2 linked regions of the Arabidopsis thaliana genome follow. The protein of the gene in region 1 interacts with the protein of each later gene in a pairwise test. Each region holds a gene or a part of one and is shown on either strand. Other genes may lie near its edges.

Region 1 (8,258 bases):
TATTTTTTCAATAATAAGAAATAGTATTTAAATGTTCATTTAGATTAAATAGATTCAATATAGTTTGTTAAAAATGATTTATCAATTAAAAAAACAGGTTATATTGGATTAGACTAGTTTCGTAATGGCTAAAAAAAAGAATAAAACATACGTACGAGAACAAGACGAAGAAATAGAAGGCATCCACTACACAATTGTACATGTCGACAACAAAGTCAACGACATACCGTTTGAGACACCGTGGCTTTCGCTTTTCTCTCAAAAAAAAAAAATCAATCATGTTTTTTTGGTTTTTATGTTTCGACAGTATTTGGTAGGTTGTTTTAATATTATTAAAAACATACTTATTATTTGTGTGAATATGTTTAAAAGCAAACTTGGTTGTTTGGAATTGTAATATCAAATGTCAAGATCCATCAACTTTCATAAAAATTCGTTAATTTGTACGTGAACAATTAATAAATCTCTCATACCACACATATTATTGCTCTAGTCAATTTGTTTCCTTTGTTTTCAGTCATTTTCAGGAATCAAATATTAGCAATGCTTTAACTCTACTCCACTGCAACCAAATTGGTTGTTTAGAGTTATCAAATGACAAAACTCGTTAAAAACTCGTTAATATCTATTAACCAATAAATCTCTAGTGAACTTTTTTCCTTTGTTTTGTTCTGTCATTTTCAGGAATCTAAATTATTAAGTCTTCAACTCTACTCCACCACAACCAAAATTAAACGAGTCTTGTCTACATGACCTAATTTGCTTAACAACCTTATCATCTCACTAACAACTCCATCTCCCAAAATTTAAACTCCTTTAACTATGCCTATAAAACCTTGATCCATTCTTCATCACATAAGCAACCCAACAAATTCATTCTAAATACATTTCTTTTCACTCAAGAAATTAAAATTTCGAAAAGTTTGTTAAAATGAATGCACACATGCTCAATCTCCTTGTCATAGTCATTTTTGTAGTTTCTTTCGATGTCCAAGCACTCAGTCCTCACTACTACGACCATACTTGTCCACAAGCCGACCACATTGTAACCAATGCAGTCAAGAAAGCCATGTCAAACGACCAAACTGTCCCTGCTGCGCTTTTGAGGATGCATTTCCACGACTGTTTCGTCAGAGTAACAACTTCTTACACACAACATTGTTGTCATCTTTCGGTCTTTTTATGTCTTTATACTCTAAATAATGTTGTTGGTGATACTTTTGATCATTAAAGGGATGTGATGGCTCAGTTCTCTTAGACTCTAAGGGGAAGAACAAAGCAGAGAAAGATGGACCTCCTAACATCTCACTCCATGCATTTTATGTGATTGACAATGCAAAGAAGGCATTAGAAGAACAATGTCCCGGTATCGTCTCTTGCGCCGACATTCTTTCACTTGCGGCAAGAGATGCTGTCGCTCTCGTAAGTCTCTCTCCATCTCAAATTCCAAGTACTACTTTTATTTGATGATTCTAATGATCCACCTAAAATATTATTTGTGGATGTTACTATAGTCAGGAGGGCCTACATGGGCAGTGCCAAAAGGGAGAAAAGATGGAAGAATATCAAAGGCAATAGAAACAAGACAACTACCAGCTCCTACTTTCAACATTTCTCAATTGCGTCAAAATTTTGGCCAAAGAGGCCTCTCTATGCATGATCTTGTTGCTCTCTCTGGTATTAAACATTCTCGCACTCACTTAAAATATATTTACAAAGATTTCTAAAATCTTTTTCTTAAACTATGCTAAAAGATGCAACATAAATCTAAATTTTAAAAATAATTGGCAAAAGACAAATATAGTTCCAATGCTTATAATGGTTTAAATTCCGAATGTTGAATGAAATGGCAGGAGGTCATACACTAGGATTCGCCCACTGTTCATCGTTCCAGAATAGGCTCCATAAATTCAACACACAAAAGGAGGTTGACCCAACACTAAACCCCTCATTCGCAGCCAGGTTGGAGGGAGTGTGCCCGGCCCATAACACGGTGAAGAATGCTGGATCGAACATGGATGGAACCGTGACGTCATTCGACAATATCTACTACAAGATGCTTATCCAAGGCAAGTCACTATTCTCATCCGACGAATCGCTTCTTGCAGTACCCTCTACTAAGAAACTCGTGGCCAAATATGCAAATTCCAACGAAGAGTTCGAGAGGGCTTTTGTGAAATCGATGATCAAGATGAGTAGTATCAGTGGGAATGGCAATGAGGTCAGACTTAACTGCAGAAGGGTTCGCTAGAATCTCAATCTACGCTTCCAACATCACGTTACTACTACATTTTTATGTCTTTCGTTTTCTTTCGTCACATTGATTACTTGTGAATGGGCCTTTCTAAAGATTAAGGCAGAGGTTCTTGTATCAGAATTATCTATCAATCTCTCGTGTGTGCTTGTATAGGCATTTATTTACAAGTAATAAGATCTTTTCTCTTTCTAAGAACATGCAGACAAATCTTATCACTTGTGTTCACAACCTATCTAAATGATTGACGAAACAATAGAAGACCAACACTCTCTTTTGAGCAACAACTTCAATATGTTTCGTAGTTAAGTCTTTAATTTGACATACATAACATAACATTAACATCCGACCCACTGTCTTAGCTGGACCATCACGTAGAAGAGAATGGATATATAGTCAAAGAAAGAAGATAAGACAGGGAGACACAAATGGGTCGAGGACATGACAGCAACCTAGGTCTTCATTTTTCTTCATTCAAACGCCCACTGATTCTCACGGCGAACCTCTTCTTCTTCCTCTGGCGTGAAGTCGTTCTTGATATTGAACGTCTTACGGATTTCTTCTGGGGTTTTTCCTTTAATCATATCAGCCACTGTCTGGCAAGTCAAGTCCAACAGTCCCTTGATATTCAAGTAGTTAGCAGCCTAAAAGGTGTCACAGGGAAACCAACTTAGATTCAAGCTCTTCAACTTTCAGATAAAAATGGAACTTTATTGTTCAAGCAAATCAAACATATTGAACTACGATTCCAAAGAAAATAAACTTTATCACTCGTTTCAGACAGAACAAAACATGTCATGTTAGCATCCAAAAGGTTTCTCAGAAAAACAAATCTAGATTCAAGCAAATCCCAAAGAAATTAAACATTATCCAATGTTTAAGACAGAACATAAAAAACATGAGTTTGGATGTAAAGTGGTCTTCAGCTATAAACAAATCCAACAAACTCAAAAGAAATCTCTTGACACTTTTTTCTCTATCAGACCATATATTTCAATCAGACATGATCATAGTTTAAACTGTGAAATTGGCAATCTAAACAAAACCTGAACCCTAAAATTAGATCTCAAACAGAAATCAAGATCTCAAACCCTAGAAATGAAATCGCAAACTTTGAAAACCAAAGCAATTAAAAATAAGTTTGACAAACCAGGATAAGATCGAAGAGAGTGCCCTGATCAACTTTGATAAACTCAGAATCCCAAGTCTTGAGATCTTCATCACTAGAACCCGACGCGACGGTGGTGGTAGTAGTAGCAGCAGCAGCATCGGCCGTGGTTTCGGATTTCTCAGCAGCTTCGACATGTCTCTTACAGTACTCAATCACCTTCGAAAGGATCTTGCTTGTGACATTAGGGAGAGGGATACCATTATCGGTACAGTCATCTTCAATCATATGTTTGATGGTTTGTGACTCTAGCGCCACCGCTTCGTCAATTTCGAAGTTTTCGCCATCCGAACTCTTAAGAGTGATTTTTCTCACCGTCGACATTGGTTTTTGCTGAGTTTAGAGACGACGTGGAGGCTGAGGAAGAGAATCGTGGAACAGAGAGATGTGTGTATGGGTTAAATCAAAATGTTTTTAAAGCCCGGCTCACACATTGAACCAGTGAGATCTAACGATTCCCAATTGACTTTTTTTACCTATAAATTTTCATTTTAAAACATTTTCTCTGTTTTTTTCTTTCAAAGGAAAACACCTGAAAATTAATTCAACTCTTTTCATCAACTTTTGATTAATCAGTAGTTGAACAGATACTAAACTCCTCTATTTGTAGGATGGTGTGTATAATTTAATTGGATTCATGTGATTTGATTTCCGGTAATATTTTTCTTTGAACATCTTTGCAAATAAAGAGTTAAGAATCATAATCAATTGCGGCAGTTGTTTTGCTAATTAAGTTGTATTAAAATCATCCACATTCTAGAAACCAAGTCCACCGTTACGACAAAACTTATTTATTTTTTATTTTATTTTTCTTATTTTTTTTTAATTTTAAATTTCCATTAAAACAAACAACAAGTTATAAGACAAGTGTCCAAACATAAGCACACAGGCTCGAAAACATACACATCCAAAAGCTCAAATCCAAGGCGCGCAGGCCCGACAACAAGAGCAAAGCCCAAAACAACCAAAGAAGCTGAAACTTAAAAATAGCAGGCCCAAAAACCAAAAGAACGAAGAGGGAACGACCCAAGGACTCAAAAAACTCATAAGGAAACCTGAACCGCAGAGGAGGACCTAACTGAAGAGACGGAACCAAGTAGCAAGCAGAGAGGCACCCGGAGGAGGAGAGGGAGAGCAGAGAGGCACTATGACAAAATTTATCTCATGCCTTCCACTGTAAACGTTTTGTTCGTCCATTGGAACTCTACCAAAATTTCGTTACTACATTCCTAAGTTTTGATGTTACTGATTTTGGTAATCTAAAACAAGACAATACATAAGTAAGCAATGCATCTGGTACTGATTTAATCAATACTTCTTTGCCATCTTTAGATAAGAATTTTGTAAACCAACCATTTATTCTATTATGTAAATATTTTCTAAAAGAGTAAATTTTTTTTGTCTTAGATCCTCCTAAACTTTTCGATAATCTCAAGTAGTTGTTCATGTCCCCTATATTAGTGATTTCGAAGATTGCCATAAGTTTGTCCATCATCGAGTTGTCAACTCATGACCAAAAACCTCTTCATAGTTCTTTAGTATTCCAAATCCAATGACGCATTGTTTTTTTTGTCGTTTTACAAAAAAGAAGCTATCATCCACGAACATAAGTGAAATATTGAGGGATTCGCTTGTAAAAATTTCATCCCCGCTAAAATCTTATCTTATTAAATAAAGTGAGAAAAATCTAACTTGCGTTATCTAAATTTTCACCAAAGCATAATCGGCCATTATCCTAGTAAAAAATATGGGCCAATAAAAAATATATTTAGATTCACCCCTTTATTCACCTTTTTATTCCATTAAATTAGAATTTATACCTAATAAATAAATTAAATTTATTTTATTATAAAATCTAATTTGCCACAAGAACAAAATTTTATATAGTTTTGGGTTTATAAGAAAGGATTGAAGTTTAGATTTTACTATTAAATATCGATTTGAGTTATAAACAGTTTTAGATTTTATAACTAAACGAGATTGAACGTCTGTTTGGTTTTATAAATGGATTTAGATTTTATAATTAAACAATGTTAAATATCGGTTTGGGTTTAGAAAGAACGGTTAGAGATTTAGAGTTTGCAATTAAAAGAGTTTAAATATCGAATTGGGTGTACAAAGAAGAACTAGGGTTAGATTTTATAATTAAACGAGATTACATTTTGGTTTGAATTTTTTAAAAAGTGGTTAGAATTTAATTTTTTTTTACTTTTTATTTAGAATTTAGATTTTTTATTTATAATTAAATAAGTTTTTTTAACTTTTTATTAGGTAGTATATTCTGATTGGCTGAAATAAAAAAATTAGGATTTAGATTTTATAATTAGACTAAATTATATATGAGTTTGAGTTTATAAAAAAATGATTATGATTTAAATTTTATAATTAAATGAGTTTAAATTTCTTTTATTAAATAACGAATTCAGATTGGTTAAAAACTTAAGATAAGAGGAAATAAATAAAAAGATTTACCTAATAAGTGAACCCAAATATTGTTCACTAGACCGTAAACATGGATTTTCTCAGCTATGCTGAAGGAGTCAAGACAAGACCAGGTCTGAATAACTGAATACATGGTCAATTTTATAGCAGTCAATTTTTTTTCTCGAAAAAATCAGTTGTTGCAATTTTTTAGTACCGTCGATTATTTTATACATAATCAGCTCTAGAGATTTTATGCATTGATGCTTCTGTAATTATACTTTTTAATTTAATTTCTGTTGTATATTTTGAATGTAGAAAAGATTCTAGAAACGAAAATAAAAACATTTTAGTAATAAATTAATGTAAATAATATAAAAAATACATAATGTAAATTAATATTGTTCTTTATATTAATGTAAATTAATGTAAACCAGTCTAGTAAATATAGCGCCTATTTAATTGAAATTTATTTGTTAGAAAATAAATAACTACTTTAACGCATTATCTTCAAGTGCTATCTTCTTTAACTTTTTAGTGGATTGGACTTCTCCGTCGCCTCTAATTCCTAGAACATGATTGCTATTATTTTATACAGCTCTCAAACTAAAGTACTTTTTGTAAGCATAGAAGAAGAAAATACTTTTAGTCTCAAAGTAAGGTAAAGAGAAATTTTGAAATTCCATTTCACCGGTCACAGAAAAGCAAATAAATCAACGACCCTAGCTTTGAAATTCCATTTTACCGGCCCAAAACACAAATGGCCATACAACCGCAAACATTGTATAATACGATAGCTCATGATTTCTTCATTAATAATTAAAAGAAACAGAATTTATAATTTTGTTGGAAAAAAGTTAAGCAGGTTAAATTAATAATTAGCATTGCTTTTTCAGAACTTAAATGTCGAGAAAAGTGTTGTGCCATGTTGTTCTATATTCTGTTGGCTAATTTATTTTCTTCCAAAATGAAAGAGCTTCAATAGTAGTATTATAGAGCTTTTATGTTGCTCTATTTTCTGAGGTTCTTAATGATATTTTTTCTGCTTTGTATTCTTCTGTATGGACTAATTAAGATTCTGAGTAGTAGTCTAAGTAAAAACATATTTTCATATAAAGGTTGTATGAAACTGGTGTAGAAATGTGTTTCGTGTGAATCCAACGTACGTAATATGAACAAACACGTGACAGATAGGAAAACATTAAAAGGGTGTTTTACCAAGACATTATGACGTTCAAGTAATTAAATAACGAAACCACAAGAATTGATTGAACACCATAAAAAAATGTGGGTTTTATAAAATCCTAGTTTTGTTTTACATAACGTCACATGCACTAGGACACCACCTATCATGTACATTGTATGGCTCTCATCATACTAGTCAGACATATAAGTACATCTTTAAGTACAAGAGTTTGCCCTGATTAACTCAACACCTATATCGCTGTCTATTTAACTGGTAAATTTTGCTTGGACTAGGCTTAATACCATTTACAATTACAGATTCAAAAAAAGAAAAAAATAAATAAATTCATATAAAAATTAGTCGAAACAAAAACCAAATGATGTTAACAAAAACGAAATGAACACTATTGTTAACAGAATCCGGCATACTCAGCTTCATAAACAAAGCTTTAATCTTCTTTAACTTTGAAACCAAAAATTATATTACCATTAAAAATGTATATCCGACTGTACTGATCACCACCACTTTTATCATCAACAAATCTCTCATCTTTTACTTCTCGAAAATAATGGTGAGCTTTATTATATTCTATTTCAGATTCCTAAAAGTCCGCTTAAAACCTTTAATATTGTTAGACTCTTGTTTCATATTAATTATAGGATGTTTTAGTTAAAAATACATATTTTAAGATTTTATTTTCTAACTATCATTGACTCCATAGAAATTTAGGGAGTAAAATTTAGTTTTAAAATTTTTAACCAATGATAATAAAATATTAAATGCATTGAAAAGTTGCATAGAAATTTGTAAAACATCTTTTATTTTGAAACCAAAAAAACAATTCCCCAAAAAATCCTATATTCTAAAACAGAGGGAGTATTTTCCAAAAAATGTTTGTCAAAGATGTTATTTTCTAAACTGCTTATTGTAACTAGCTAATAACTTCCCCTCTACAATCTGTCTCCGATCTTAAGCATGCCATCACAGACATATGGTGGCCAATAACATAAGCATACAAAACCTTATCCTATATGCTATCTCGTGCTCGATCACATAATTCATGATCTTTTGATTGACAAAACAAAAGAGTATTATCCAGTTCTACTTTCTCCATGTGAAACCTCTTGAAAACATTTTTCACACACTCTTTTAATGATAGGGTTGAGATTTTCTTTCGTTATGTTAATTCTCATTCCAAAAATTTAGTTCGATCAAATTACTAATTATTT
Region 2 (8,038 bases), on another chromosome or scaffold:
ATGATTTGGCTGGATATCTGATTATGAACTATGTTGCAGAATCTAGAAATCAAGAAGATCAATGAGGAGAAGAAGGCTTCCATGGCTGCTCAGTTTGCTGCTGAAGCTACCTTAAGAAGGGTCCATGCTGCTCAAAAGGATGATGATATGCCTCCGATTGAAGCCATTCTAGCTCCATTGGAAGCTGAGCTTAAGCTAGCTCGCTCTGAGGTATGTTTTACTCATTTGAAGTCCAAATTTCTACTTGCAAATCGGATATTAATTTATGATGTTTCTGTGAAGATTGGGAAGCTTCAAGAAGATAACAGAGCTTTGGATCGTCTCACTAAATCAAAAGAAGCGGCTTTACTTGATGCTGAGAGGACTGTTGAAACTGCTCTGGCGAAAGCTGCTTTAGTTGATGATCTTCAGAATAAGAACCAAGAGTTGATGAAACAAATAGAAATCTGTCAGGTGCTGTACTCATTATCATCTTCTTTGTATCTAGTTAGTCAGGCTTTGGATGCCTTCTACTTATCACTCATTGTTTGTTAATAATTTCTATTATCTGTTTGATTCTTTAGGAAGAAAACAAAATTCTAGACCGAATGCACAGGCAAAAGGTTGCGGAGGTGGAAAAGCTTACTCAGACTGTACGGGAACTGGAAGAGGCCGTTCTTGCTGGTGGTGCTGCTGCAAATGCCGTGAGGGATTACCAGCGGAAGTTTCAAGAGATGAACGTAAGTTAATACATTTCCGAAAAAAGAAGTATAGAATCTTTACTCAACTGATGAAGGAATATTTCTTGCTCTACTTTTGCAGGAAGAACGAAAAACTCTTGACCGGGAACTTGCGCGTGCAAAGGTTACAGCAAACAGAGTTGCGACAGTGGTTGCAAATGAATGGAAAGATGGTAATGATAAAGTGATGCCTGTGAAGCAATGGCTTGAAGAAAGAAGGTTTCTACAGGTTTACTTTGATATGATTGCCCTTTTCCTAAATTTGTGGAATCCAGATTCTTTGAAGTGACAAAGGCACACAACCTTACATTCTCACTCTTTAACTCTCTTCTTGCAGGGAGAAATGCAGCAACTCCGCGATAAGCTTGCCATATCAGATCGAGCTGCGAAATCTGAAGCACAGCTAAAAGTATTCATCGTATTTATGCATTAGTCATTGTCGAATTTATGTTCTTGTTTAACTGAACTAATTAGTAAACTATTTCCTTATACAATTTCTAGGACAAGTTTCAACTACGACTTAGAGTGCTTGAAGAGACACTGAGAGGCACATCAAGCATCAGCATAAGGAACACACCTGAGGGAAGAAGCATGAGTAATGGACCGTCTCGCAGGCAGTCAATCGGTGGATCAGATAATTTACAAAAGTTTGCGTCAAATGGCTTTTTGTCAAAGAAAACTCCGATGAGAAATTCCTTTACTTCTAATTCCACCTCGGTATTGAAGAATGCTAAAGGAACATCCAAGTCATTCGATGGAGGCACAAGATCATTGGATAGAGGCAAAGCACTCTTAAAAGGACCTGGGAATTATTCGTTCAACAAGGCTTGTGATGAAACCAAAGAATCAGAGTCACCTAATACCTGGAAAGAAGATTCAGAAGAGAAGCCACCAAGTGAACTCCCTGCACCAGCAACCGAAGACAATGTCCCAGGGGTTTTGTATGATTTACTACAGAAGGAAGTAGTCGCCTTGAGAAAATCTTCGCATGAAAAGGATCAAAGCCTCAAAGACAAGGATGATGCCATAGAGGTAAAATCTCTCTGAATGTACCATATAAAATGTTGTTAAAAAGACGTGTTTGTAATGGAAGTCTTGATATTTTTCTTGTAGATGTTAGCAAAAAAGGTTGAAACTTTAACAAAGGCAATGGAAGTTGAAGCAAAGAAGATGAGAAGGGAAGTGGCTGCAATGGAGAAAGAGGTTGCTGCAATGCGTGTGGATAAAGATCAGGATAATAGAGCTAAAAGGTCTTCAAACACCAAACCCTCATCCAACACCGCCCAGATTCTTGCTGCAAGGTATCTAACAATGTTGAATATCTTTGTCTATTTTTATGATCAAATTGCGATTTTAGCAATCAGACTAAGCTTGGTGTTCGATATTCTGCAGAGCTGCTGGCCGAAGTGGGTTAACAAGGAGTACACAATGAGATGAGGGAGGAGATGTGACTAGTTCTTGTGGTCGTATCAGTTTAAACAAGTAAAACCGTTATAGGCTGGTGTGATTTTTAAGCTCTTTTTAACCTTTATATCTCTTTTTTATTTCTCTTGCTTTCCTTTACATCCTCTGTGATTTATTGAATTACCATAGAACTTAAGGATGAAAAAGATAAGTATGCTTTCTGACTTAGATCGGCTTACACTGCTTAGCGATGACGACAAGAAAAAAGGGTGGAGGGAGAGATGTTTGACATTTTCGCATAACATTTTCTGTCCTATGGAAGTAGTTTGTTTGGCTGTATAGGTTTTAGCTCTGTATTGAAGTTTGTGTACTTTACTTTTTCGGTTTCTTCATTCTATTTACTTGAGGTGTTGTGTGATTATTTCTACTTTTGGGTTTGTGGATATATATATATATGTCCAAACTCAGTGTCTTCTCTCTTTTGGATGGTACGTCAAAAATCAAATCCTGCATGGTCGAGTAACAAGGAGAAGTATATTATAGAAGGATCTTCATACAGCAAAACCATTAACATTACATGAATATCTATCTAAAGCGTACAACAATCACTAATTTACTATGTACACACGCTTCTAGCTTCTGATATATCTCTTCTACATGTCGTAAGAGTTTGGAATGTGACAGATACAAAACCACAAACCAAATGAAGAAGGAAAGAGTCTTTACAGATCCGAGTCTTGCCGGCTAGCCAAGCAGAGTTCATGTAATTCATTGAGTATCCATTCCTCACCAGTGTGACCACCAAGGACCAATACTCTAGTTCCTCCAACAACGCATGTGCTATGTCCCCAAGCTAACTTAGGCGGTTTCCCGGGGACATTCAGGATCCTCCATGACGGTTTCTCTTCTGCAGGATCTATTAGAAACAGTTGCGAAGGAGAGTGAAGCCCTGCAATCGACCCTCCAAAGATGATGACCCTACCACACGGCATGCTCACAGCCACATGGTCTAGTCTTGGAGGCGGTACAACCACGCCTGGGAATGCGCTACACTCAAGCTCTCTCCATCTTGGTTCTTCATCCTCCAAGTCTATAGTGTATGCCTCCCCTGACCTTAGCTTTAGATGACCACTATTTGCAAGCCCGCCAAACATTAGGATTTTAGTCCGACCAAAGACCGATAAAGAATGCCCAAGTCTAGAAGGAGGAGCCCATGATGTCGGGATCTCTTTCCATGTCGGTTTATCTGTTGTCAGATCCAACAAGAAGGTGTCGCTGAGAAGCACTCCAGCGTCTGTGCAGCCACCTGAGACAACCAGTTTAGAGCCCTCAATGGTGCACGAGCTGTGCCAAGATCTTGGCAATGGAGGAGTTCCTCCTGCTACTTCCTTCCATGTGGGATGCTTAGCGTCTAGATCAAGCACAAATACATCATTAAGCAATCCTTGTCTTCCACACCCTCCAAAGACTACCAACCACGACCCGTTGAGACACGAGAGTGTGTGTCCCCAACGTCCTGGAGGCGACGACGTCACCCTCACACGCTGCCACTCAGGACACTCTGCATCAAGATTGAGAACAAAAGTATCATCCAATGGCTGCATGTTAACCCCTTCCCCACCAAATAGCACAAGCCGGTTCCCAACAGCACACGCGCTGAAATTGCAGCGGGAAGGTTGTACAATCCCTCCAACAGTAAATTTACGCCAACACACAGCTTCAAGAGTGGTGAGCTCTCTAGCTAACCGACCCCATCTTAGCTTCTTAGTCATAATCTCCAGTGTTCCAGTTATCTCTTTTCCCCACGCATTCTGACATACCATCTTCCTCACACTCTCGTTCTTCGTCAACTGCCTCAACCTCCTGCAAGCAGAACCAATTGAAGCAACGTCCCTTGGAGTTAACCGAGATAAGATGTTATGAGCCAAAACTTCATCAGATAGCTGCAATATCCCACAGAAATCTTCATGATGCTCCTTAAACCTCGGGCTTCCACTTGGAAACAAGCACTCAGATGTTTGATCAAGCTGTTGTTTATGTTTGAACACAGGATACGAGACACGGTCAAGGTCTATAGTCGTTTCAGAGAAGACCTGTATCCCAATTACGTGTGTAATGGTTCCATCATCGTCACGTATTGGAGCAAGCCGTAGTCTGTTAACCAAAGGAGTACCATCTTTTCTGAAATTAAGAAGCTCTCCTTGGAATTCAATACCTTCTTCAAGACATCTCCTAATCTCAGATACAACCACAGGATCAACCAATGGGTGACGCCTTTGAGCTCGAGGATCTCTGTACTGTAGGAATCGACTGAAACCAAGCAGATTCAACCACAAATGCAGCATTATTCAAGAGAATTGATAACAACACACTCCAATTCAAAAAGGGGGAAATCGGAGAAATTAATATACCAGTTACGACCAAGAACTTCATCGGCACGATAGCCAGTGAAGACTTCGAAGACTCTGTTGACATAGATCAAAGGAAAATCTGGCTCCAGAGCATCGGAAACAATGAACGAAGGCGGAGTCATTGGGTAATAGAACATCCCAACCTCTAACGGAAGCTTCTCATCCTCTACTTGTTCTTCGATTCCATCGTTACAGTATTCTTCTGCTTCTTCAACTCTGCCGCGTTTCTTTCGTTTTCCGGTGGCTTCTCCGATCGCATGTTCTCTCGCCATTTTTCTCGCTTACAGAAATATCTTCTTCTTCTCTGATAAGCTCTCAGCCTTATGATATTTTATTTCTTTTTGTGTCTGTTTAAACTTTTAAAATATCTTGGCTTAGTTGGTGACTTATTGACGAATATACCCTTTATATTTAAGACGAGGCAAGAAGTCTTCGCGCCAGGAGTTGGTGGCAATTTTCGTAATTAAAAGGATATATCAGGGGTATGTTTAAAAAAAGTAAGTCTACTCTTGTTCGATTGTAACACGTCACCAGGGGATATTCCGAGAAAATATCTAGCCTACTCAACCACTCGCTTCTTCCACGTCATCATATTTTGTGAAAGATATTTGTTTTTTTTTTGAAGATTGAGATTTGAGGGAAGATATTTGTTTTTGTTTGTGAAGTGTTGGAACTTGGAAGTTGGAACGCAATTGGAATCAGATTCACGTAACCGTTGACTCTGGTCAAATAATAGATATTTTTGTGAAACGCGATTCTCGAAAAGGTTACACATAATGTTAATGTAACAAATTGAGTTTTCGTGGTGAGTGGAATGGGATGATGAGACAAGGGAGTTTTTCTCCCCAGTTGAGAAAATTCAGATTTAGCTCTAAAACTTCCCACTTATATAAGTTTCTAAACAAAAAAATTACATTAGAAATACGAAAATGTACGTAAGTAATGTAAATATGTAATAATTGATAGCAATAGTGGCCATAGACCCCACATAGTGGCATACTATGAGAGTAATAGAGTTAAGTGTAGTCCTAAGATTTACAGAAGTCCAGATCTAGGCCCATACTAAATAGCTAGCCCACAAAGCCCACACAAAAACTTAATTTGAACCAAATAAATAGACAACATATTTTTTTTATTTTTCTTAACCGTGTGAGAAGGCTTCTGACCATAATCTTTCAAGTACATGAAATCAACCTTTACATATTCCAATTGTGTTCAACCAAAAAAATATTCCAATTTAAATAATATATTTCCATTCCAAAAAACTAAACACAAGAAAACTAACCCTTTTGGTATATAGACAAAATAATTGTTTCATAGATTTATCTTTTTATTTTATCTTTAATTTCTATACAATTAAAGGTAAATTAAAGGTAATTTCTATACCACTCCAACATTTCCTGTTATGTTTCATTAGCTACTTCAAGTTTTAGATTTATATCGGGTTCACAAGACGTCAATAAATTACATTCCTTATCACCTCAATAAAAAAAGTTATGATTTTTTGTTTTTCTTATTTTTTCTTTACTTTTTGATATAAAAAAAAGTTCTGGCTTTTGTTATGTAATTTGATTTTTTGAACACAAACAATCGAAACTCAAACATCTTTTTGGTGGACTAAAACCCAACAACTTTTTTTGATTGATGAAAAAAATAACATTCATTTTTGGAGAATATAAATTCAGGGAAATTTATAATTAATTAAAGGTATTGAGGCTCTATCTATTGCCAATACTTTTGGGACCGCTTGGTTCATCGCGAAGACAAAGAGACATGTTCAAAAACAATGGTACTCATCGCACCCCTGTCACTAGAATAATAGCCACTAATCCTAGTCTAACATTGGCCGGTCTGGTCTTTTTCTTTTTAAATAGTTTCATGATTGTCATCATCTCAATTTTTGTGTAAGTTAAGTTATGAGTTAATTAATGACAGAAATAGAGCGAGCAATAGTTTCTTTTGAAGTCGTGAAATGTATAACATCAATATAGATCCAAGTATGATTTTTGACCACATCCAAATTACAAATTAAAAACAAAAAAATTCTATAAATGTTTCGAATATTTATATAAAAACAGACGAAGAAAAATTGAAGTTTTGAATCATGAATGAAACAAAATCGTGCTAAGCAAAACAATTTAAATGGTTGGTGTACTGCATGTGCTTTAACGTGAGCAGTTTAATGAGAATTAGGGTTCCACATGTTAATATATATTTATAATGTTATCACAAAAATATATTTGTAATTTCACAGCTAAAATATGACTTCTTTTACCAAAACAAAAACTAAAATATGACTTGAACACGAAACAGAAAGTATATACATTCACGTATCACAGCCCTAGAATCTAGCTCACTTCCTAATTCGAAAATTGCGTAAGCTCACACGTCAGTACCCTAAACTATTACCTCCGTTTTTTCTTTTCTTTCAGGTTTTAGTTAACTAATTAATTAGTCAATAAAAACTTCAGCAAATGAAAAACAAATTTGCTGCGTGAACTTTTTTAGTTCATCAAATCTTTTGATTTTGTGGGATTCAATATCCAACTTAATACATATCATATTCATGTGCACTTTCAGTTTAGTATAAAACTCGAGATTATTAATTAAACAAAACATAAAAGACAAAAAAGTAAAAACTAAAGAGATCATATACTAAAAGAAAAAAAAGTAGTATGGTTTTATTAATAAATAATGTAATAAGAATATATTTATATTGAAAAACATTTTTAAATAGTATGATTTTAAAAATAAATAATGTAATAAGAATATGATTTTAAATATATGTTAGTGTTAACATTTTTGTTTAAATGTGAGAAATTTTTCATTTATTCTTTTGTCCCAAATGATTTATGGGGGACAAGATTCCTTAAAAGGGACAAATCACATTGTAAGAAGATAAGTGAATGTAAATATATATTTGTTTAAAAAGATGCCATACATTTTGTTAATCAAACAACCCAAAGTTGACCCTCAATAATAAGTGTAGTAGGCCTATGAGGCTAGCTAGGATGTATAATGATCCTCACAGCTTCTTTAGTCTAATCTGGCATTCACATGTTTATTGTTATATAGGAGTCAAATGGAAATAAATATATGTTTTTACTTTATAATTAGAGCAAAATACTGTTTAAAACCAAAATGGTTGTTTATCACTTTCAGTATTTTATTTTTATTTTTATCAACAGCAACACTTTCAGTATTTGTTTAATCAAATATGATGCATACTTATTCTCCTTTATTTATGCTTTTACTTACATACATTAGTTTTGTATATGTTTACTAGACTAATATAGTCAACTAAAAATATATTGTGGACCACCTACATTTTTTTTCGTGCCACGGGACCACTCACTATTTTGTTGGCATTACAACTTATACAAACACATTATTCTATACGATAGGTCGACAACTATCTAGATAATAAGTGTATTTCGATCAATTACCTAACTAAGTCGACATTACCAAATGTATGAATATTACACATCAATTTCGTATGGACAA

Evidence for each region.
Region 2: the proteins of AT5G42190 (region 1) and FKF1 interact in binary tests that used the Arabidopsis thaliana proteins (3 or more experiments, as listed by UniProt).

What each region holds. Positions count from the first base shown.
Region 1 is NC_003076.8:16,851,771-16,860,028, forward strand, and holds AT5G42190 (E3 ubiquitin ligase SCF complex subunit SKP1/ASK1 family protein), read right to left. Parts: upstream 3,972-8,258; 5' UTR 3,747-3,971; coding exon 3,405-3,746; intron 2,899-3,404; coding exon 2,725-2,898; 3' UTR 2,421-2,724; downstream 1-2,420. Other genes in the region: PER64 (Peroxidase superfamily protein), read left to right, coding at 932-1,135, 1,234-1,422, 1,515-1,677, 1,854-2,251.
Region 2 is NC_003070.9:25,505,505-25,513,542, reverse strand, and holds FKF1 (flavin-binding, kelch repeat, f box 1), read right to left. Parts: upstream 4,905-8,038; 5' UTR 4,807-4,904; coding exon 4,535-4,806; intron 4,434-4,534; coding exon 2,846-4,433; 3' UTR 2,636-2,845; downstream 1-2,635. Other genes in the region: MAP70-1 (microtubule-associated proteins 70-1), read left to right, coding at 40-210, 283-453, 564-719, 802-948, 1,057-1,128, 1,221-1,751, 1,833-2,020, 2,112-2,151. UniProt on the Arabidopsis thaliana protein: Component of an E3 ubiquitin ligase complex that plays a central role in blue light-dependent circadian cycles.